3 linked regions of the Schizosaccharomyces pombe genome follow. The gene in region 1 interacts genetically with each later gene. Each region holds a gene or a part of one and is shown on either strand. Other genes may lie near its edges.

What was found.
Region 2: mutations in rtf1 (region 1) and mod21 together harm fitness less than expected from each alone (positive genetic interaction), as found in Schizosaccharomyces pombe (one large-scale study listed by BioGRID).
Region 3: mutations in rtf1 (region 1) and mug184 together harm fitness less than expected from each alone (positive genetic interaction), as found in Schizosaccharomyces pombe (one large-scale study listed by BioGRID).

The regions. Positions count from the first base shown.
Region 1 is NC_003424.3:4,795,484-4,802,682, forward strand, and holds rtf1 (RNA polymerase I termination factor Rtf1), read right to left. Parts: upstream 3,645-7,199; 5' UTR 3,446-3,644; coding exon 3,007-3,445; exon of another isoform or gene 2,960-3,006; coding exon 2,793-2,959; intron 2,748-2,792; coding exon 2,660-2,747; intron 2,621-2,659; coding exon 2,509-2,620; exon of another isoform or gene 2,471-2,508; coding exon 2,138-2,470; exon of another isoform or gene 2,093-2,137; coding exon 1,941-2,092; intron 1,894-1,940; coding exon 1,784-1,893; 3' UTR 1,712-1,783; downstream 1-1,711. Other genes in the region: 20S proteasome complex subunit beta 6 Pam1, read left to right, coding at 1-673; sec24 (coincidence detector Sec24/Sfb2 subunit), read left to right, coding at 4,272-7,052. UniProt on the Schizosaccharomyces pombe protein: Mediates site-specific replication termination at the polar replication barrier RTS1, a barrier which ensures that replication of the mat1 locus in S.pombe occurs in the centromere-proximal direction.
Region 2 is NC_003424.3:246,484-254,223, reverse strand, and holds mod21 (gamma tubulin complex GCP5 subunit Mod21), read left to right. Parts: upstream 1-3,297; 5' UTR 3,298-3,453; coding exon 3,454-3,617; exon of another isoform or gene 3,618-3,674; coding exon 3,675-5,544; 3' UTR 5,545-5,645; downstream 5,646-7,740. Other genes in the region: fatty acid elongase Elo1, read left to right, coding at 510-634, 1,472-1,832, 1,887-2,498; nucleoside diphosphate kinase Ndk1, read right to left, coding at 5,841-6,296. UniProt on the Schizosaccharomyces pombe protein: Component of the gamma-tubulin complex that is required for the regulation of both interphase microtubule organization and nucleation, and mitotic bipolar spindles. Required for correct septation.
Region 3 is NC_003423.3:295,934-303,367, forward strand, and holds mug184 (protein mug184), read right to left. Parts: upstream 5,459-7,434; 5' UTR 5,282-5,458; coding exon 5,232-5,281; exon of another isoform or gene 5,176-5,231; coding exon 4,298-5,175; intron 4,142-4,297; coding exon 3,414-4,141; downstream 1-3,413. Other genes in the region: Ran GTPase-binding protein Sbp1, read right to left, coding at 303-373, 472-600, 773-1,220; alpha-1,2-mannosyltransferase Omh4, read right to left, coding at 1,838-3,160; asparagine--tRNA (Asn) ligase Nrs1, read right to left, coding at 6,049-7,434. UniProt on the Schizosaccharomyces pombe protein: Has a role in sporulation.

The sequences.
Region 1 (7,199 bases):
ACAGTCTCAGTTTGATCCTTATGTACAAAATGGTGGTACCACTGTTGCAATCGCTGGCGATGGGTTTGCCATTTTAGCTGGAGATACAAGAAGTGTTAATGGTTACAACATTAATACGCGGTTTCAACCTCGCGTGCATGAAGTCGGTGATGATTTGGTCATTGGAGCATCTGGTTTCGAAGCCGATGCCCTAGCTTTAGTTAAGAGAATTCAACAAAGAATTGACTTGTATCATGATAATCATGAACGCAAGATGAGTGCACAATCCTGTGCTTGCATGGTACGGACACTTTTGTACGGAAAGAGATTTTTTCCCTATTATGTATATACAACCGTTGCCGGCATCGATAAAGAGGGAAAAGGAGAGATTTATTCTTTTGATCCTGTTGGCTCTTATGAGCGGGAATGGTGCCGTGCTGGTGGATCCGCTGCAAACTTCATTACTCCATTCCTCGACAATCAAGTGAACTTACATAATCAGTACGTTCCTGGTTCACATGGAAAAGAGAGAAAGCCAAGGAGACTTTTAAAATTGGAGGAAGCTATGAAGATTACTACTGATGCATTTACAAGTGCTGGAGAACGACACATCGAGGTTGGTGATTCAGTTCTTGTTAAGATTATCACAAAAGAAGGTGTAGAGACAAGAATTATTCCTTTGAAGAAGGATTAGATTTTTGTAAATATGACTTTTTTATGTTCCACTGTCACAGATATAGCTTCCTAGAATGGCAGCCTGCCTGTCAAGCTCAATTCCAATTTCGGATTGCATGATTATGTATGAGATTTTATCGGAGATATCCCTATTTTGAAAAGCCTAGTCTCAATTTATTTTACAAGTTAAACATTTTTTTTTGTCTTTGATGTACATTGCATAGTTTCATGGCGTATTTATGAATGTGTAGAGGATAAGTTCGAAACAACTTAAACTTGTAATTTTTTTAGTCATATTTATGAAAAGGATTAGTTAGGAAGTGATAGAATATTTGACATAAAAATCAGGATTTCAGTACATCAGTAATTTAAATTCCGTTCTTTGACTCTATGAAATCACTAGACGCTTGGCTAATTTATCATAAAGAAAAAATTATTTAATGATTTTACTTTTCTTCAATCAACCTCTTTTCATCCATATTTTATTTTCGCATCAATGAATAAAAATTTATGATGGGTAAGTAAATAGAATTATCTGATTTGTTATTTTGTGGGCATCACTTCTGTATTCATGTATTATTAATGAAACTTACTTAGTTTTCATTTATGTCTCTCTGTGTACTATTAATTTAATTCAAAAAATTCAGAAATGACCTGTCAAAATAGCCTCTTATGAATGCGGTTAATGTATGAGTTATTGACTGATAAAAAAACTAGATGCAGGCACCCTTGCTAAATTAATCAATGATGATGATGATTATTTTATTTTATAGCTTGACATTCGTTCTTTTTTTTAACCTTTTATTAATAATGGGTTAAATTATAACATCATATCGACTGGGGATGTAGTTTAGGGGTATAACGTTTCATTCGCATAGTTCGCACCTTGAAAAGGTCCCGGGTTCGATTCCCGGCATCTCCAATGTTAGAAACTATTTTTCCTTTTTATCCACATTTGTTTTATTTATTGACTACACGGCAAACAGGTTACATACACAAATGTATACTAGAAAAAATATAAAAGTGAATTTACTAATATAAGTAAGATGAGAACATTCTCTCAATGAATACACAAAAAATTTAAATCTATGACTTTGAGGAAGTAGTTAAAATAAATTTGTTCATGTAGCTAGCATAAATCATCGGCGTTAGAAAAAGCGGTGTAAGAATCATGTAAGTTCGAAATGTAAGTTTCTTCAGGAGAAGAATTTAGCATTTTGTGCAAATGAATTAAAGTATCTAAAGCGTTAACATATTAACAATAATTATTATATTCAAAAATTTACCAGAAAACGTAGAAAGTCCATCGATAAACAAGGTTTTTTTTATTCTTTCGAAATGCGATTTACAAGCATCTGCTGTCCATAGGTGATTAGCATATTCTGATAAGCATTTCCAATCAATCATCCGTTCCTCTGCAACATTAAGGTCCATCATTCTGAATTTAATTAGCTTCTTATTTAAAATTTTATAATTGGAGTACCTTTCAATTAACCATATACTATCGCCAAGTTTGAAAGGGGAACTATTATGTATATCTCTGGAAATTAGTGTGTAATACTTCCACCTACAATGATGACGGTGTCGATTTCTCATGTTTTTAGAAATTAGACTCCATTGAATAGGGGATGAAGGATTGCTTTGCAAGTATTGATTAACCGTTTTGATTAATTTTTCTTTCTCCTGGATAGTCCATGGTGAACGATTGATTTCACCAGGTTGAATGTAGTCGCGCCAATGATCTCTGCAATGCATTGGTAGTCTATTCGACAATTTGCCAATTAAGCTCCAGGATGTTCCATGTTTTTCAACAAGTCTATTAGTTAGTTGCAATTTGGAAAGTAAACTACATACTTTTTCAATTCTGCCTCATCTTCTATAGTCCATTTACATTTTTTCTTAAATGGATTATATTTTCTGCGGAGATAATTGTAAATACTCTTTTTATCCCTATCGATAAGCTCATCTATTATTAATTAGTAACAAGTGATAGTAATTGACTTACACAAACAATTATATAATGTTTTCATTTCATCACGATGGTTATCAGACCAAACATATTGAAGAAATTGTTCATCAGACCAATTTTTTTTCTGTTTTTTAATATTTATAATAAAACAGCAAGCTAAAGACCATACCTTTTTAAACATAGCAATTTCTTTTTCCAAAGTGATAATGTCGTTTGCTCCCCATGATCCAGACGACGCTTTTTTAACGTATTGAAACCTTTCATAACCTGGAATGTTAAAATATCCCTTAAGATGCCTATACACAGTCCTTCGTGAAACATTGGGCACTTGAATTTCTAGACTTGAATTAGCGGATTTTTTTGAAAGCACTCAGGTGTCATACGAAATTGAATGAGTAAATTATTGAAAGGTTTTGGAAGTCTTTTGGTTTTAATAAGAAGATCTCTCGCAGCCACAAAGTTTAATTCGCTTTCTTTCAAAAATTCATCAATTAGTTGACTTAACAGAACCCAAAAAGTGGGTGTCCAGTTGGTGTAATCTCTACTGAATACAAAGTCTTTATATGAAGTAGTGCCTGTTTTTTTGAAGCCTCGACATGTTTCATGGTCTTTCGCACTTCCAGCAATTGCTGTTTTCACATTTTCAGGTGATACCATAGTCTCATCATAATTGTATTCATGAAAGCTTATGGGGTTTCCCAAGTAAATGAAAGAACTTGTATTTTTCGAGTCACCAATGGGTGATAAGAGTTGATCATCGACAAAGAGCTCTTCATTGTCCTCTGTATCCGGTCTGCAACTTAAATTGTTTTTTCCTTGCATAATAATGTTCACTTGTCTGAAGAAATATTAAGAAAAAAACATTGACAAAAGGTAATCAGTATAGCAAGGGACCCGGGGTGTAATAGTTCATGTAAGACAAAACCAAATAGCGCAGGCAACTTCAATTATTCAATCTATAATTGAACTTTTGATACTTTGCAATTCTGAATTCTAATTAACTAGTGAGCCTGTTAAAATTGGGTAACATTATAGAGCGTTGGTGTAGCTAAATAGTGTACGATACATGCAGTGATGGTTTTTGAGAGCATTTTTAAAAAAATTTCAAAATTTCTTAAGATGTGACTCTCTTGTTTATGATATATACATGTAAAATTTTTAAAATAGAAAATTAAGTATGAGTGGTTTAGAAGAGTTTTTTTAGTTGAAAACGTTTACAGGTATCTGCCTCATATCAAACTTAAAAAAAAAAAAGAATAAATTAAAACGATAAAATATCTCTATTGGCTTTTGTTTACTAATAATCACTATTTTTTATCAATTAGGTACAAAGTTCCTGCCTATGTTAAAATTATTAGGGTAATAACGTGTGTCACCGATATAATTACTACGATACATAGTATTTAATAACGAAACTGTAAAGCTCGTTAACTTTCCAGTGATTACCTTAACTTTCCATCTACGTTAGTTGAACCAGCGAATGTAGCTGCCATTTACCTACTCCAGGGAACACTGTTAAAAACGTCTTTTTGTGAAAAGGAAGGAAAAATAGAGGGATCTTCAAAAAAGTTATTAAATAATTCAGTGTTTCTTTTCTTTTTTTTGCTAGCAATATACCACTGTAAGTAAAAAAAAATACACTAAAGCAATGAGTCAGGAGGACGCTTTCTACGGAAAGGGTAGTTATGGAGCTAGTAGTGGAAATTCGAATATACCTCCTCAAGGATTTCAGCCAGTTTATCCAGTTGCTGGCCAGCTAGATAATACCGCTCCTTATGTCGGGGCAGTTGCTGAGGGTACAGCTGAAGGCATTGTAAGCAATGGTGAATACGCTGTTGGAGCTATGGGTGCTGCTCCTACCAACATAATAGGATCTGTCGATCAACAACCACCCGTTTCTCATACCTCTCATAAGTCTCGTAGACAGTATCCTGCTGAGGTGTTTGAACTTACAAATACCTTAGCAGCGTCACCGGCTCCCCCTTCTCTTTCAGAGCCCTCTTACGTTATGGCACGAACTCCATCCTCTTCACCATATCCTCATGATCGCGCAGAGGTGGGAACTAAATCTCTCTCTGCACAATTTGGCGGAATGTCACTTGGAGCAGATGGTGCAGCAGCTATGCCTACCAATGAGTTAGTTTCTGTTGATTTGTACAATCAAACACCAGAAATTTCTGACTTAACCTCTCCTCCTCCTCCTATTAATTTACCCTTAAGCTATTCCGCTACTGGAGCAGCTACTTCCAATTGCCCTCCCAAATATGTTCGATCCACGATAAACTGTGTACCGACAACAAATAGCTTGTTAAAAAAGTCAAAAATTCCATTTGCATTAGTCATCCGTCCATATACTAGCTTGGTCGAAGAAGATGATCCAGTTCCAGTTGTTACTGATACTATTATATCACGATGCCGCAGGTGTCGTATGTATATCAATCCTTTTAGTATCTTTATTGACAATGGCCATCGCTATCGCTGTAATTCTTGTGGTATTGTTAATGAAGTACCCCAGTCATATGACTGGGACAGTTTCAGAAATGTCCAACGTGATCGCTGGCAACGTCCTGAGCTCAATTATGCAGTTGTTGATTTTATTGCTCCTCAAGAATATATGGTTCGTGCTCCACAACCTTTGGTTTACGTATTTTTAATTGATATTTCGTTTGTATCCATATCTTCTGGTATGGTTGGTACTGCAAGTCGTGCAATTCTGGAATCATTGGATCGCATCCCCAATAAAGAAGGACGTGCAAAGGTGGCTTTTATTGGTGTAGACAGTGCCCTGCATTTTTTTTCAGTTTCCCCTGGTGCTGAAGAAGCCACCCAACTAGTTGTTTCTGATTTAGAGGAACCGTTTTTACCCAGGAATCAAGATTTGTTACTTAATTTACGCGAATGTAGACAAGGCATTGAAAACTTACTCGAGCGATTTCAATCAATGTTTGCAACTACCCGTGATTCTAGTAATGCCCTTGGACCAGGTCTTAAGGCTGCCCATCGTCTCATTGAAAATATTGGCGGTAAAATTTGCTGTCTCATTTCGAGTCTTCCTAATGTTGGTGTTGGTAAATTGGAGTTACGTGAAGATCCTAAACTTTTGGGAACAAATCGTGAATCTAGCCTTCTTCATCCCAATGACTCCTTCTATAAATCCTTCGCGGTGGAATGCTCCACGTCTCAAGTCTCTGTTGATATGTTTCTTTTTTCTTCTCAGTATCAAGATGTAGCAACCTTAAGTTGCCTTCCTAGATACACCTCTGGTAAAACCCAATTCTATCACAGGTGGAATGCTTCCCGTAGCGAGGACGCTCTTAAATTTGCTTCTGAACTTACTAACTATCTCAGTATGGAGATTGAGCTAGAGGCGGTGATGCGTGTTCGTGGATCTAACGGTCTCCGTATGTCTTCTTTCTACGGAAACTTTTTTAATCGTTCAAGTGATCTATGTGCGTTTCCTTCTTTTCCTCGCGATCAGAGTTATGTAGTAGAGGTTGTTATTGAGGACACTATCACCAAGCCCTTTGTTTCTTTCCAAACAGCTATGCTCCATACTACTTGTAACGGTGAAAGACGGATTCGTGTACTGACTATTTCTCTTCCTACTACCAATAGTATGACTGATTTATATGCATCAGCCGATCAAGTTGCCATTGCACAATATCTTACTGTCCGGGCTAGTGAAAAGGCTCTTTCTTCTACGTTGAACGAAGCCCGTGATAGCATTATAAGTAAGCTTGTAGAAATTTTGGAAGTTTACAAAAAAAATTTGGCTGGACAAAACACCGGTGCTGCGATCCCGCTTCAAATAAGCACCAATTTAAGACTATTACCATTGCTTTGTTTAGCATTGACGAAGCATACTGGATTCAGAAGATCTAGTCATATCTCATCTGACCTTCGTTCTATTGCTCTATGTTATTTAAGTACTCTGCCAACTCCTTTACTAATGCGTTACATTTATCCAACTCTTTATTCTTTGCACGATATGCCTATTGAAGCAGGAACTGTTACAGAACAGGGTGTAGTTCTCCCTTCTGCGTTAAATCTTACTTCAGCTTTGTTGCAATCTTTTGGTTTATATTTGGTTGATACACACATTCATCAATTTTTGTATATTGGTAAAGATGCAGTTCCGCAGCTACTGATAGACGCATTTGGTGTAAACTCTCTTGCGGATTTGAAAGCTGGACGTTTTACAATGCCAGTTATAGACAACCCACTTAACGTTCGTATCAATGCGATTCTCGGTAAACTTCGTTCGTTGGATAAAGGTTCAACTATTATGCCTAGTCTTTACCTTGTACGTGGTGATGGTGATCCACAATTGCGCTCATGGTTTTTCTCTCACTTCGTCGAGGATCGTAGTGAGAACTCTCCCAGCTATTTACAGTTTTTGCAGACTCTTAAAGAGAAAGTTCGTGACTAAAGGCTGTAAAATCTGGCTACTTTCTACAAAACTTTTTTAAATTGATTGTTCTGATGGTAATATATGCCTGAATTAGTGACATGATTAATTAATAATATTCAATATGGTTAAACATTCTTTGGTTTTTTGTATTTTTAAGAAAAAAAA
Region 2 (7,740 bases), 4.5 Mb from region 1:
TGTTCCAAGTACTCTTTTTGTGCGACTAAGCTCTTTTATTTTGTTGGCAAATCTTTGTTTACCAAGTCGATCCGTTGAATCCACGTTTTTTCAACTCCAAGCAGAGATCGAATCTCGTTTCCTTATTTCTCGATATCGTCAGGGATATTGTTATTTTATTTTTTCATCCCGTCCATCCATTCCCACGGTTTTTCTGTGATTGCAGTCTGTACAGTTTAACCCCTTACATACTCCTGGAACCTTCGTTTCTTTTTGTTTCAGCTTCCGTTCCTTATTCCCTTGCTTTGGAATAGTCTTTTTCTTTTTTCTTCCACCTACCCGCATCCCCTTCCTCGCTTTTTTTGTGCAAATATCACAACGCAGTGAGCGGGCTGAACTCATCCGTATTTTCATTTAAAGAACTCGATACCAAATTCTTAAACTTCGTCCGTATTTTACGGTATTATTTGTTTTCGTTACTTGCTAGTCTCCGCCATTTGTACCCTGCAAATCTCAAATACGTTTTCATTATGCCTGACTCACCTACCCTTCACCATAACCATATTATTGGGCTTGAGAACGGGTCTCTAACCTCTAACAATAATCATCAAGGCATGGCATCTGTTTCGGTAGGACAATTTCAGTATCCCATCTGGTGAGTTTGTCGATATTATGCCTCCGCTAAGCTATTTAACTGTTTTCCATGTTTGCCATAGCTTTGCTCACTAATGTGCCTACATAGTGATGCGTACGTGAATTTCTCTTCTAGAAGATGCTTGCTTTTTTTCCACACAAATCAATCAGTATATATTTTTCGTTTATCCTTGTTCAATGCCTTTCTACTTCCGGCGCTGTTTATTTTGAATTTTCTGAAATTTTGACTGTAGACCAGCCACTTTCTGTTTTGAGTTTTCTTTGTTTTTGACACTCTCCTACCAGCATACCGGTCTTTGTTGTCGTCCTTTCTTTGCTTACCGTTGTTACACTGTCGCTCGCTATATCGTTCCGTTCAGCATCCTCTGTTAGATATTCAATTGATAAAAAGCGGATCGGTATTTCTAGTTTTCGTTGTTGTTTTTTATCATTCCGTTGTTTATTAAGATCTCCACCATGTGGATGCTTAACGGTTCGTAAAGCGAGCTCTTAGCCAATCATTTTCGCTGACGGCCCGATAGACTCGGCAGAGTAGGTGGAATCAACAAGGGTGAAAATTTCGTTAGGTTTACTGAAATTTTTTTCATCCAAAACTTTTTCATCTCAAGTTAAACTCTGTGACTTTTTAGCTGATGTTGGATTGCTGGTATTACTGATTGATTGTGGAATGTTCATCTCTGGGGTGTGTCTTTTTTTGAGGCACATCATGTGTTACTTTTGTGTGTAGTCGTTAAGTACTACCAAACATGAAAGCAAGCGTCTGAAAGAACAATAGAAATTTCACTAGTTTTAATGCGATTGAGAGGCTTTCATGTTGATTTTTACTAACAATTTTTAGGTCATGGTTAAATTCCCTGGCAGATGCCACATTCGGAAAGCGGCCATCTTCCTTTGAATTTATCGTAAACAAAACCCGCTTTTCGTCCGCCCCGGTCGTTGCAACCATCATCATATCTTACTATCTTTTAATTCTTGTCGGAGGTAGAATTATGCGTAATAGGCAACCTATCCGTCTTCAAAAGATTTTCCAATATTATAATTTGACTTTTTCCATCGCTTCAGCTATCCTTGCACTTTTGATTTTTGAACAAGTAGCCCCTGCTATTTACAAGCACGGTTTTTTCTTTTCTATCTGCAATGAGAAAGCATGGACTCAACCGCTGGTATTTTTATACTACTGTGCTTATATTTCAAAATTCGTACGTCTCCATCGTTTTTTGACCATACTTTTTTCATTCTAACATACGTTTTAGCTTGAATTGACAGATACTTTTTTCCTTGTCCTCCGCAAAAAACCCCTTCAATTCCTTCATTGCTACCATCATGGTGCCACTGCCGTTCTTGTATATACTCAAATTGTTGGCAGAACTTCCATCAGTTGGTTGATCATTGAAATCAATTTATTGGTTCATGTTACTATGTATTATTACTACTATCTTGTAGCCAAAGGTATTCGGGTTCCTTGGAAGAAATGGGTCACCCGCTTTCAGATCGTTCAGTTCTTTGCTGATTTAGGTTTTATTTATTTCGCAGTATACACGGAGGTTGCGTATCGGTTGAAGTTTTACAAAGCCTGTATGGGCCATTGCTCAGGACATCCTTTAGCGGCGTTCTGTGGTCTCGCAACAATCTCTTCATACCTTGTTTTGTTTATCGTCTTTTACCATAACACTTACAAGAAAAATGCTGCTCTCAAAATGAAAGCTAAGGCTGCAGCTGCAACAAAAGGTAACTCATCAGAATCTTCTAAAAATGCGGACTTAAAGCGTCTCTCAAAAAGTAACGCTTCTATTGCCGAGGTTAAATGCAATAATATAGTTACTAATCTGTATCCTATTTCTTCAGGTTTAAACAATGAAAAATAATGTTTTCGTGGTACCTCTTATGGTTTTTAATTACCCGATTTTGCTCTTACTTATAACTTGATATTGAGCCCTAAAGTCTACAAGTGCCTTTTTTTTCTTTGTTCTGCTTAACGTTGCATTTAGAATTACCAATTAATAGTTGGAGTGACTTACGGGCGACGATTTTGTGAATTTTGAAAGTACTTAATTGTCCGTTAGCTTTACATCCTTGTCTATATTCGATTACTACCTTTTATCCAGTGAATCCTTTTTCCCATTCCTTAATCAAGATTTATCGACGTCTTTACATGTTCTAAACTTTTTAGCTAAACCTCTACTAAGTATAGATTTGTTAACTTCGTGGTATCTTAAGGTCAAACTTGATGGTGTGATAATATAATTAAAAAAATCAGAGCCAAAATCTTTTCTTCAATATAATGTTCTGAATCTTTTTTTCCAAAGATTAAAAGTCCATTTGTTTAATATTTTATATTAAAAAACCATGGTAATACTAATGCACAACTTATGAAAAATGGGTATAAATTAGTAAGAAAATATACGTTCTAATAACAGTACTACAGTTGTGTAAGGTTGGTAAATTTCTCTGTATAACTTGTAGTCATTGCAAGTGAGCATACGGAATTCATTATTTATTTTGAAGTTTTCTTACTATTTCAGTTAGGGAGCGGCGCCGGTTAATCTAATAACAGTAAATACGTTTAAAACAAAATATATTAGTTTTTTTTTTATTACTATTATAAATGACTTACACAGCTTAACGGCAAATAATGATTAACCCCCTTCAGTCATAAATTGACTCAACTCATTTCTCTCATGTCAAACAAAAATTTTCCTTCATTCGCGATAGTATACGAAATATACACTCCTTAATCGGCATTTTAGCAATATCAGCACATAATAAAGAACATATGAGAATACAGGCAAAGCTTAATAAATGTTTTATCAAGAACTGTAAATGACAATGTCTCGTGCGGATCAAATCCTACAGCATCTCTTAAGGGAACTAATACATAATGATTCATTAGTTGCTAGTGAATGGTTAAAACATTCAAAGAAAATCATTCAAAATGTCCCTAGTTCGACATTGGTATTTCATGAAATGATAGAACATATAAAAGGGTAACGTAAAGCAGATCTGCCGATTGTTGTTGGAATGTTAAGACTAACTTGATCTAGCATCTGTGACAAAATGGGTATACAAGGTCGGGAAGATTTAGAAATGCCTTTACGAAACGCTTGTGAAGTTCTCAATCGTCAAACCGTTAGTGTCAAGCAAAGTATATTGCATGCCCAAATATTAAAACTTTTCCTTGAATTATCTAAACCACCCTCAGATATACATGTCCCACAAATTCCCGTCTACAAAGATTGCAACAAGAATGAACAAGAAGCTATAATCCAGTTATTAACTAGTTGTGAAGGAGACCACTGGTTGATGCCTGACTGGTCTTCAATGCCTGATGATGAAACCATAACAGAAGACTCTGAGGAAGAAACTTTCAATGGAAATGCTAATGAAATTACGATACCAGCCAACATCCACATCCCTATCATCGAGGAGTCTGACAACGCGTCTAACAATAAGCTATGTACTTTATTTAAAAAAAGCAAGCAACCGAATTTAGATTTTTTACAGATAAAACCCTTTATGTTTTGGGATTCTAGTTTGAACGAAACTGTCCGAATATCTGAAAGAAGTATTATTCGCGACTCTATATATATGTTGATAGGTTATCCAAGTTTTTTCTTCTTAAAAAATGGTTCAAAAATTGAAACACGACTTTCTTTATTACCAAAGCTTCATCACATGAGCGAAGAGATTCTTCGCAGTATAATGACAGAACTTGCCGATTACGGTTCTAACTTGGAATTTTTTCGACAAAAACTAACATCTCCTAGCGATTCGTTTTTTAAAAGTGATGACCAAAGTACCAAGAATGAGCCGTTTCTCTCTGTTGTCTTCATTTATCCTCAAATAAAACCACATCTCTTAAGTTGTTTAAAAAACACACACCAAGAGCTTATTAAACTCGAAACAGAAGTTTATAACGCTACAAAGAACTGTACTCTTTTTCAATTTTTTCAACATGTAAAAAAATTCGTTGATCCACTATTGTGCTTTCGTTTCGCTTACGAAAAATCAGCAACGAATATGTGGGATTTTGTTAAAACATTGGAGTTCATATATTCAACAAGGAATTACTCTTCACAAATGTTCAAGCTCTATAAAGCTTCTGCTATTGCAATGTTATTGTGGATGGTTAATCAAGCCTCACAAATTACCAGTTCTATGACTATAGCCAGGCCTCTATATAACATTTTAATCCTTTGTAAGGATTTTCCTAACAATTTCCTTGAGAAAGACAATATTGCTCTCCAATTGGGTAGTATTGTTTTTGACCAATCTCCAACTCTAAACAATTTACTTGTGGAAATGGAAATATTAATTAGAAGCAAAATTTTAAAGCTTGGTAAATCTTTGGATTTATCTTTTGACTTTCAAAGTTTAATGGGGGAGTTTGAAAATTTAATAAAACAACAAGAAGAAGCTAAAAAGTCGTTATGGTCAAAAAGATTTAGTCGTTTCTATTATGGGCATTATGTATTCGTCAACACCTGTCATAATTTTTTCCTAACACTATATCAATCTTTTACTGAAGTTGATGAAAATTCTATATTCAACGGCGTTTTTGAAACGCTTAATAATGATGTTGATGATGAATCTGTAATAGGGGAAAAAGAGAAACTTATTTTAAAGCAAAAGCAGAAATGTTTATCTGAATTTTTTGTTGATGACATAAAGAAGCTCTTAAATGAAGAGCTGCTCAATTGTCAAAAGCAAGAGCTACCAGATGTCATGGAAAATACATATCAAATTTCGACCGTTTCAGGAATTAAAAATGATCCGTTATTTACGTTGGACCAAACCTGTAATATAATAGCGAAACTAGCGGACAATCTCATACATCCTTCTGTTCCCATTGGTAGTTCTGCCTATCGATGTAGACGAAATTTGGCTGACTTATTATTCCTTATAATGCCATGATTACGATAAAATGCCATAATATTTACCATTACGTGTATAGAATCAATAGATTTCATAAAAGTAACCTTTTGGATGAGTAAAACCATACTGACTTACATGCGATTTCTCTAGTTTCATGTCGTTTACTAACGAATGATATTTGAAAAAGACCTATATCTATTAAAAAAAATGATAGTGTGCTTTAATGAAGGTAGAAAATCATTAGTCATATTTATTTGCTTTGGGTGTTGCTGATAGTTTGCATCACCCATAACAAACACGAGTCCTTTTGAAGAGGCTCTTTAACTTCTTCTTATTCATTCGTAAATCCAAGGTTCAATTGTACGATCGTAAACTTGGATTTCCGAAGGCTGGAACCAAAGTTTAATTTCACGATTAGCGCTTTCTATGGAATCAGAACCATGGCAAACGTTTCTACCAAGGTCGATACCATAATCACCGCGAATAGTGCCAGGGGCAGAATCCAGAGGGTTACTGGCGCCCAACATTAAGCGACCAGTTTTCACGGCTTGTTTACCTTCCCATATCATGGCACATACAGGGCCTGATGCCATGAAACCAACGAGTTTCTCATAAAAAGGCTTTCCTTTATGTTCGGCATAATGTTCTTCCACAAGATCACGACTAGGAACTAAAAATTTTAGAGCACGTAGTTTGTAGCCCTTCAACTCAAATTTTGAGATGATGTATCCAATCAGTCCTCGCTGAACTGCGTCCGGTTTCACAGCGATAAAAGTTTGTTCTGTCGACATATCAAAAATGCTTATACTCGGTGATATGAGGTGGTTGAGTAGATGGGAGCTGTCCCGTCTACTATCCCATATAAAGGATTACGGAGCAAGGACAAATAACACTCACAATATGATTGCATAAACAAAGCGGAAACAGATGTAAATAATAAAAAATGATAAGAATCGTTATAGTACACCTTCTTATATTTTTAGAGCACCAAGCCTCAGATATCTTAATGGTCGTAAATTATTGTTTACAAAAAATGCATATTTACAAACACATTACAAAGCATTCAAAGCGTACCCGTAGACGGTAAGCCAGTTTTGTTTTTTTACATACGTAAAAACTCTCCACAAATCAAAAGATTGTAAGGCTTATTGTATACTATATAATGGATTTGTTATTATCCCAATCGCCAACTTCTTACTGTTTTAGGACCATGTAACGAATGAAACCACTAATAAAAGTTAGAAGAACTTGTAATTGATACCAACTTAGTATTGGGATACCTGCAAAATTTGATTATCAACCAGTTGATAATAGATACAATTCCAAGTACATCTACATCACTTCATGCAAACGGTTTTTTCCGTACATATATTAGTTATCCCTATACATATAATTGTTAACATTGTCTTGATATACGAATAAGGCTTTTATGATTATTCCTAGAGTTTTATCCTTGTTTGCGAATTTATGTATATTCGTAATGGCATATACTCGAAAATCCGGGATTTAGATAAGCTTAAATCATTATATGTCTATCTAATGAGCATGACAGCCGTCTCACAATTTTACTCATAAACGGACGAGGGATAAGTTGTTTTTCTTAACAATTCAGTTGTAGTATCATCACTTTTTATTTACATTCTTTTCGAGCGCTGTTTATCTGCACATTAAGTCACCATTGTACGCATAACCATTATACCACCAAAAACGCAAAAAATATCAGTTTAAGCTGTAGGTTGTTAAAAAGAACCGTTTTCCTTTCAAAAAGGTTTACCTTTAATATTTATTATTGATATTAGTGACAAGAGGCACTGAATATCAGTTTTGAGCCAACTTTGAGGACATAAAAGTGCTTAGATCGGGAAACGTTTCTTTTGCGATTCGTCGTCAAATTTCCTCTTTTCTTTTCTTTTTTATTTCAATTCTTTTTATAGGTTATCCTTCATTCTTTTTCTACAACTGTTATTCGAGAGTTGCACTAAGAAATCACAAGTAATTCCAACCAAATTTAGACGCTGGTTATACATTATCGTTTTTCCATACCTAAAGGGTAATTTTAATTTTTTTCCTTCGTTTCCCATATCCTACTTTGCTATTCATTTTTCTTTAGAATTTAGTATCCTCTTTCTCCCGCAGCCTTTAAATTTTTGATCCTATTTGTTCGCTTGTTGTCTGTCATTATTTGGAAAAAGAGGGTTTTCTTATTATACGCGGTTTTGATCGATTTTTGTATTA
Region 3 (7,434 bases), on another chromosome or scaffold:
TAAATTATTTTTCAACTCCTATAACAACTCACTATAATAAACAATATGCATTTGCTCCATGCACCAGCTAAACTTTACCTTTGTACGATACATTTCATTCTACAATGGTTAAACTTACATAGACGTTCATTGAATTTTAAATATTTTTTAACGTATTTTCTCAGATATTTATACCACCCTAAAAGAACTGCAAATAGACTCATAGAAATTCAACAGCAACTCATCAACTTTACCGTGAGAAGGAAAAAGATGGAAAAAAGTTAATTCTATTATAGCAAGCCCAGAATAAATGACGATATAAACTAATTTTTTTTGAGAATTTTGGCATTCTCTTCTTGGTATTTTTCAAAGTTTTCCTTAAAGAGATTGGCATCTAACGAGGTTTGGTTAGTACCACAGTTGAAATAGGGTTATTTGTTAATATCAACTGGATTGATAAAACATCGGTATTTCTACCAAAAAAAAACTTACTTTCTGAGTTTGCAAAACGAATAGCAAAAGTCTCTGCAGTAGGTTCTCCTTCACTAACATCCGCAGCAACGGTCCAAACCCAACTACGATCGCTTCCAACATTGGGAGTCAATTTCATCTCGGGCATCACTAAAAACAAGTTAGTATTCAGATACTACATTCTGAGAAACCAGAGAAAAGAAATAGTCAAGACACGAAAGGACAGTGAGCTTTAATGTATTAAGAAAAAGTATTTCAACAACACGTAGCATAATGTCTTTTCAACGTCTAGAAATGCAACCATTAATCTAATTGGACATACATAAGTGGTTAGCACAAACTTTCAAAGTCTTGTCGCGACGCATAACCAAACGAGTTTTTCCAGTCTCCTTATGTTTCAAGAGACGAGCATCACCAGTTCCACGTTCCTTCCATTCGCTTGCTGCCTTGTCAAATCTGAAAAGTTTAGCACGCATTTTGAATTCGACAGTCTCCTCTTCTTCATTAGTTTTTGTCTCGACTGCACTCAATTTGACAATAGGCTCAAAGTGAACCTCAGGGGAAGCTGGTTCAGCATCCTCATCTCCTTCAGCTGGCTTCTTCTCATCGTTCGTGGAGGCACCAGACTTGTTTTCTTGTTTGGCCACACCGTCACCAAAAACAGCTTTGGCTTCTTCTGTTTGCTTGCTAGCAACGTCTTCACTAGCAAAAGAAGATTTCTGCTCTTCTTTAGTAGTTCCTTGAGTCTTTTTTTCTTGTTCTGCGGACATTGTGGTATTGTGCTGATGGAAGGAAGAGTGTACCACGAAAAAATTATAATATACAGTAACTCGGTATTCGAACAAACATATTGGAAATGGGTGCTGTGTTAGTCGGGAATCTATAAAAAATCATTTGCTAATAAAATCTTTGCCTTAAAGCTACTAGTCTCTTGTATAACTTCTTTACTGATCAATAAGATGCTAAAAATTTTTTCATTTGTAGTCATTACACATTCTATAACTATTTGAAGTGTATACATTTTATACTTCGTTATGCATAGATTGTTCGGTGTTGTTCTATTTTATGATTGTCAAAAAATACTCATCATAAATAAAAGATGCTTACATTAAATCTTAACTATTAAAGTAAGATTATCACCTATTTTGAATAAAAAGACCAGTGTTTATCAATTAAATTTCAAACGTTTGTTCAACAGCTAGATAGCTTGGAAAATAAGTAAAACAATCCGAAAAGGTACGTGAAAGACAGATGATATAAAAAAAAGCAAAAAATTAATATTTGTAAGCCCTAGCTTTTAACTCTGGCATTAATTGCAGTTAAGTAAATCGTCCGTGCAGAAAAAAAAACAGCATATTAAGTGAGAATGCAATTACGATATCAAAACTCATTCATCTAAGAATCCATCACCTATTAAATTCACCCATTGGGTGACACAACCTCCAGAAGTAGATTCTATTTCTGATAACTCAGGAATGCATTCGCAATTGCAACCCAGACTTTGTCCACAATGATGAATGTCAGAATGCCGATATCCTAAATCACGAAAATAATGAACCTGTTCTTTCGACAAGAACAGTCCAGCAGCTAGAGAGTGAAATGGAGCGTCTCCCCATCTTTCAGTCCAAAAGCCTCCTGTCGCATCCATTGTACGGAAGAAGTTCTCATACTGTTCATTTCTGAAGAACTTGAAATTTGCAATCTCAAAATTGCTCCAAAAATGACACATATTATAGGACTCCCCTTCCATTGAAGATGTTTCTGCTGAATATGATGAGTCAATCATAGCATTTAAATGAGAGGAAAAGGAGAGACCTACTGTAGGGTCTTTTCTTGAAATATCGTAGTTTTCCTTTTTAGGAGCATCCAAAAAGAATTTCCACATGTTAGAGGTTAAATTATTATTTCGACGATAAGCCGAGGTATATCGAAACAAGTTTGGAACAGTGTCTTCTAATTCCTTTAATGCTACAACATAACCATATATTTTCCCATTTTCTTCCATGTAGTAGAAAGGGTCATAAGATATATCGCATGTGAAAGCTACGTCGGGTTCAACTCGCCAGTACCATTGATATTTGAGTAGCAACGGATGCTTATAAAAGAACCCCGAAAAAAAGCGACACATATGATGGTAACTTTCTGTATCACCATACATGATACCTCGATCTCCTTGACTTGCAATAGCTTCACGCGCTGCATCTACATCAACATTACCAGGAAATCCAAAAGTATCTTTTTCAAGCGTTCCAAATTCAACGTTCGCAGATGTAAGTTTAAGAATGGTTTCCTTAAATTTTTCATCAAAGGGCTCATCGTTTAAAAATGTATAAGGGTAATTAAAATGTCGATTAAAGTGTTTCTCCAATGAATTGATAGAAGAAACAACACCTGGCAAGTCTGAATTACGAGCAAGCATAACAAAAGTTGCATTCATTCTCGGATGCAACTGTGCTTCCAAATGAACGTTCTTACAGCCATTTGAAAACAAAGGATCATTCCTTTCATCAATCCGTCTAAGAGGAGGATGATTAAGTTTATAAATTAGTTGTTTGTATCCCATCTTTAAAATAAAAATTAGCACTATCAGTAGTAAGACCAGTACAAACCGTGCAGACAAAGGACATCTTTTTTTAAGTTTTTTTCGCAAAAGGCATCGAAAATTAATCCTGCTTTCAGAAAAAAAAACATGTTTGTTCCACCCTAGCATTTTGTACTGGCAAAGAGTAATAAATCCAGATGTGAGACTGTAAACAATCTTCCTCAAAAAGTAAACAAACATTATGAATAATCATTATGGTAGTAAAAATTAATCTGATATATATATGTATACATTTTCTTTTTAGTAGAAAACTATATAAGGGAATCAAATAAATCCTTTTTGTTTTATTAAGGAAAATGGATGATCATGTATTTCTGAGAAAACCCTGATGAATGGTTTAACAGATGACGACTTGATTTGTTCAAAGCATTTGATTTTTATTAATCAACTCTCGAAGCCTCTTTAAAAAAAGGAAATACTTTTCTTCTGTTTGTCGAAATTCAGCAACAAACTCTTCGCATTGGTCCCAACTCTTCTCAACTTTCTCAAAAATTTCCCAATTTACAGGAACAATGTGTAGTTCTTTTTTAATGTTGATCCAACTGTTGATAAAATGTTGGCTTTCAGTACAGTACTTGCTGTATAGCTTTTGAAAAACCATCAATTGGTTCCAATATTCTCGGTTTCTCACATTAAAGTCAATAGATGAAAAAATGGGGAAAGATGGTGGCTGAATCACTGGGATTGAAGGCATTGCAACAGAAGGAGATTCTGTGGAAATATTGATTTTGGAAAACAGATCACCTAATGAATGGTCATTATCTTCCTGTAGTTGCTCTTCAAATTCAGTCTTCTCCTTCATAAATGATGCCGAAGAGAAGTCGTCACACTTTTGATTAAATGTAGAAGTATTGCTTCTCATGAAACCAAAGGCAGTTTTATTTGGTAAATCGCTTTCCGGTTTTTCAAAGACACTGCTCGTCCATAATGGTGTTCTTATGTTATTACGAGTATCGCTTCTGCTTTTTGGCCCTGATGAGCCAAAGTCAAATGAGAAAGGATTAGAAGATTCCGCTTCTGGTTTCGTAAATACAAACGAGCTCTTAACGGGTTTGGATGAACTCTTAAATTTCGGGGTATTGGAATCTTCTGTAGCTTTAGAAAAGTAACTTTCAAAGAAAACTGAATTCGGGGAATTCACATCTGATTCACTCTTTTTGGAGAAAAAGCGATTGAAATCACGATATTTTGTAGAAGTATTTGTCTTTTCTTCCTTTGGTGTTTCTGGCACTTTTGATGACATACCCAATTTGAAAGAAAAAGAATATGGGGAGCTTTCTTCTGTTTTTGTAAATGTGAAAAAATCATTAGAAGTTTTGAACGAACTATTGAATTTGGGGATGTTACACTCTTCCGAGTTCGATGGTTTAGCAGCATTTGAGGATGGGGAGAATTCGAAAGAGAAAGGATTTGAGGATTTATCAAAATGGAACTTTGATCCAAAAGAAGAATGAATTGACTGTTCATTGGACGAAAAAAGATTGGATGCACGAGACTTATATACTGAAGGTTTAGACTCTGGTATTTTACCGTCATTAGAAGGATGCTTTGAAGAATCTTTCGGTCCCCCTTTTTTCTGTTTCATTGCTGATTTAGGAAGATAATCAGAATTATTGTTTTCTTTCTTCAAGCTTTCAGGTTCTTGCCTCTTTACGCGAATACCAATACCTGACCGAGGATCATATTTCATATTGTAAATGTGAGAGTACTCGGTATCTCTTGGAAATGAAGGCTTTTTGTTGAAATGTTCCTTTTTTCGAGTAGAACTTTTTTTTGAATACTTCTCGGAAGATTCTTGGGGCTTCTTCGTAGTTGAGGCAAATGGAGAAGACCATTTTGAATTTTTCCCTTTATTATAGGAAGCATACGCACTTGTATGCTTACTGGGATTCGAAGTAGAATTAGGCTTATATTGAGATCTTGTACGAGTACTAAGACCAAACAATTGATCATAAATGAGACGCTTAGTAGCGTCACTTAAAACTTCATGAGCCAACTGTAACCTTTGAAAGCGCTTTACTGCCCGCTCTTCGTCTCCAGGATTCCTATCTGGATGATACTGTAAAGCCAAGAACAAGTATTGTTTTCGAATTTGTTGGAAGGTAGCATTTTTTTGGAGTTTTCTGTAATAAATTACATGTTAGTATCAAAAATTACGCCTCCAAAATAAAAAGCTTACAAAATAGCATAATAGTCCACTGAGGTATCTGTTTCGGGCCTTGCTAGCATTTTAGATCATTCTGAAATTGATGATATATTGCTTCTTATTATATGGACGAATTTAAAGCCCTTTGTACAATTTCAATTGAATTCAACGACAAACTTTGTATGTAAATTGAATTGAGAACACTGCTCCACCTAGTTTACTTTAGAGGTATCTCTGAACTGGACTAAGCAATAAGGTCTAAGATAAGTTGTCAGCAAACAACAAAAAGCTATAATCATAAGACATCTAGTTAAGCAGAGTTTAATATTTTAAAATGGTTCAAAAAAAAATAAAATCAGAAATGTTCACTTTGTATTTTTCAGAGAAATTATGTCCAAGATATAAATTGTTTTGAAAACTACTTTATATTTAAAACATGTACTCCGTAAACTAACATGAATGAGTACCTTATGCTTGTAAACGCAACTGTTGCTCAAAATAATTGAATGTAAATGATAAACAATGTTTACTAACTTTGAACTTTTATTGTTACTAAAGACGCTAACTGACTCGCACCTAGCCTCTTGTCATTACAGCTATTAAGAACTTAAAGCTTGGAAAATGTACTTCAAAACAAATTTTATTACACTCTCCCTCTAAGCATTTTCACTACTTCTAAGCGTAAACTAAAGAAATTTCATTTTCCATATGAGATAATGTACATCAAAAGTTTAAAAAACTCAAAGGATAAGCAAAAATTTTTGCAAAACAAATTCTAAGTAAACAACATAGTTCGCCCACTGTTCAAACATTAAAAGCTACCCATTTCTTCGATATGGATAAACTTTGCTTAAGGTGTGCAACGTTCAGTAAATCGTGGGAATAAGCAGCACTCACGAACAGTGTAACGGTCGCACAACCAAGCGAGGAATCTTTCAAGTCCTAAGCCACAGCCACCATGTTCAGTAGTACCATATTTACGTTGTTCCGTAAACCAGTAGTAGGGAGCTGGATCAATACCTTCGCGTTTATAAGCAGCAAGGAGCTCTTGAATGTCGGAAATTCTCATACTGCCACCAACAATTTCTCCCACATTAGGCATTAAGCAATCAACACTCTCGGTAAGTTCAGGACGATCAACGACACGCTTCATATAAAATGATTTGATCTCCAATGGGAAGTATGTCAAAAAGATGGGGCGGTTGATTTGATCGGTCATCTTGCGCTCAGCAGCTTCAGCAATGTCATCGCCAAACTTGTGTTGCTCACCTTCTGGAGTCAAAATATTGTGCTCATTAAGATACTTAATCGCATCCTCGTAAGAAAGACGCATAAAAGGTCTTGAAGGCTTGACAAAATCAGGATTCAACTGCTTAATTAAAGGAGTAGCAATTGGATCATCAAGGAGTCGGTCGATAGTTTGGCAAATGAATTCTTCAATGATTTCCAAAAACTCGCCAAAGTTCACGAATGGCAATTCAAACTCCACGTGGGTAAACTCAGACAAATGGCGTCTGGTTAAAGATTTTTCTGCACGGAAACTCTCCTGAATAGTATAAACACTTCCCAAAGCGGGAAGTGCAGCCTCTAAATACAATTGACTAGATTGAGTCAGATAGGCATCTTGTCCATAATAATTAAATTTAAAAAGAGTTGCACCTCCTTCAACTTGAGTTTGCACCATACATGGTGGTGTAACCTCGGTCATTTTAAGATTTTCAAATGTATCTCTCATGGCACGAAGAGCACGAGCACGAACTTTGAGTACCGAAGAAGCAGTTTCACCGCGAATAACAAGGTGACGCTGATCTAACAAGTAGGAAGGCTCCGCTTCTGCATTGAGACGGTTTGTAAAAGCCTCTTCTCCGGTAGGAGCAGCATGCAAGATTTGATAATAATCAACAACAAGCTCGTGGTTTCCAGGAGCTGATTTTCCTTCGGGCAATTCCTTAATTACACCATATAAACATACGGTAGACTCGGGACCCAAATTAATAAAGTCATAACTAGCTCTATCGTAGACTTTTCCCGATAAAACACACTGCAAAAATCCAGTACCATCACGTAAAATTATAAAAATAATCCCTTTTTGTGTACGCATACGATGGACCCAACCGTTTACACGGACACGAGAATCACGAAAATTGGTACTATCGATAATGGCAATCTTCTTAGCAGCAGGAGCGTCTTTTGGTTCTTTAAGGACAATATTTTTAGCTGCTTCTAATCGTTTGGC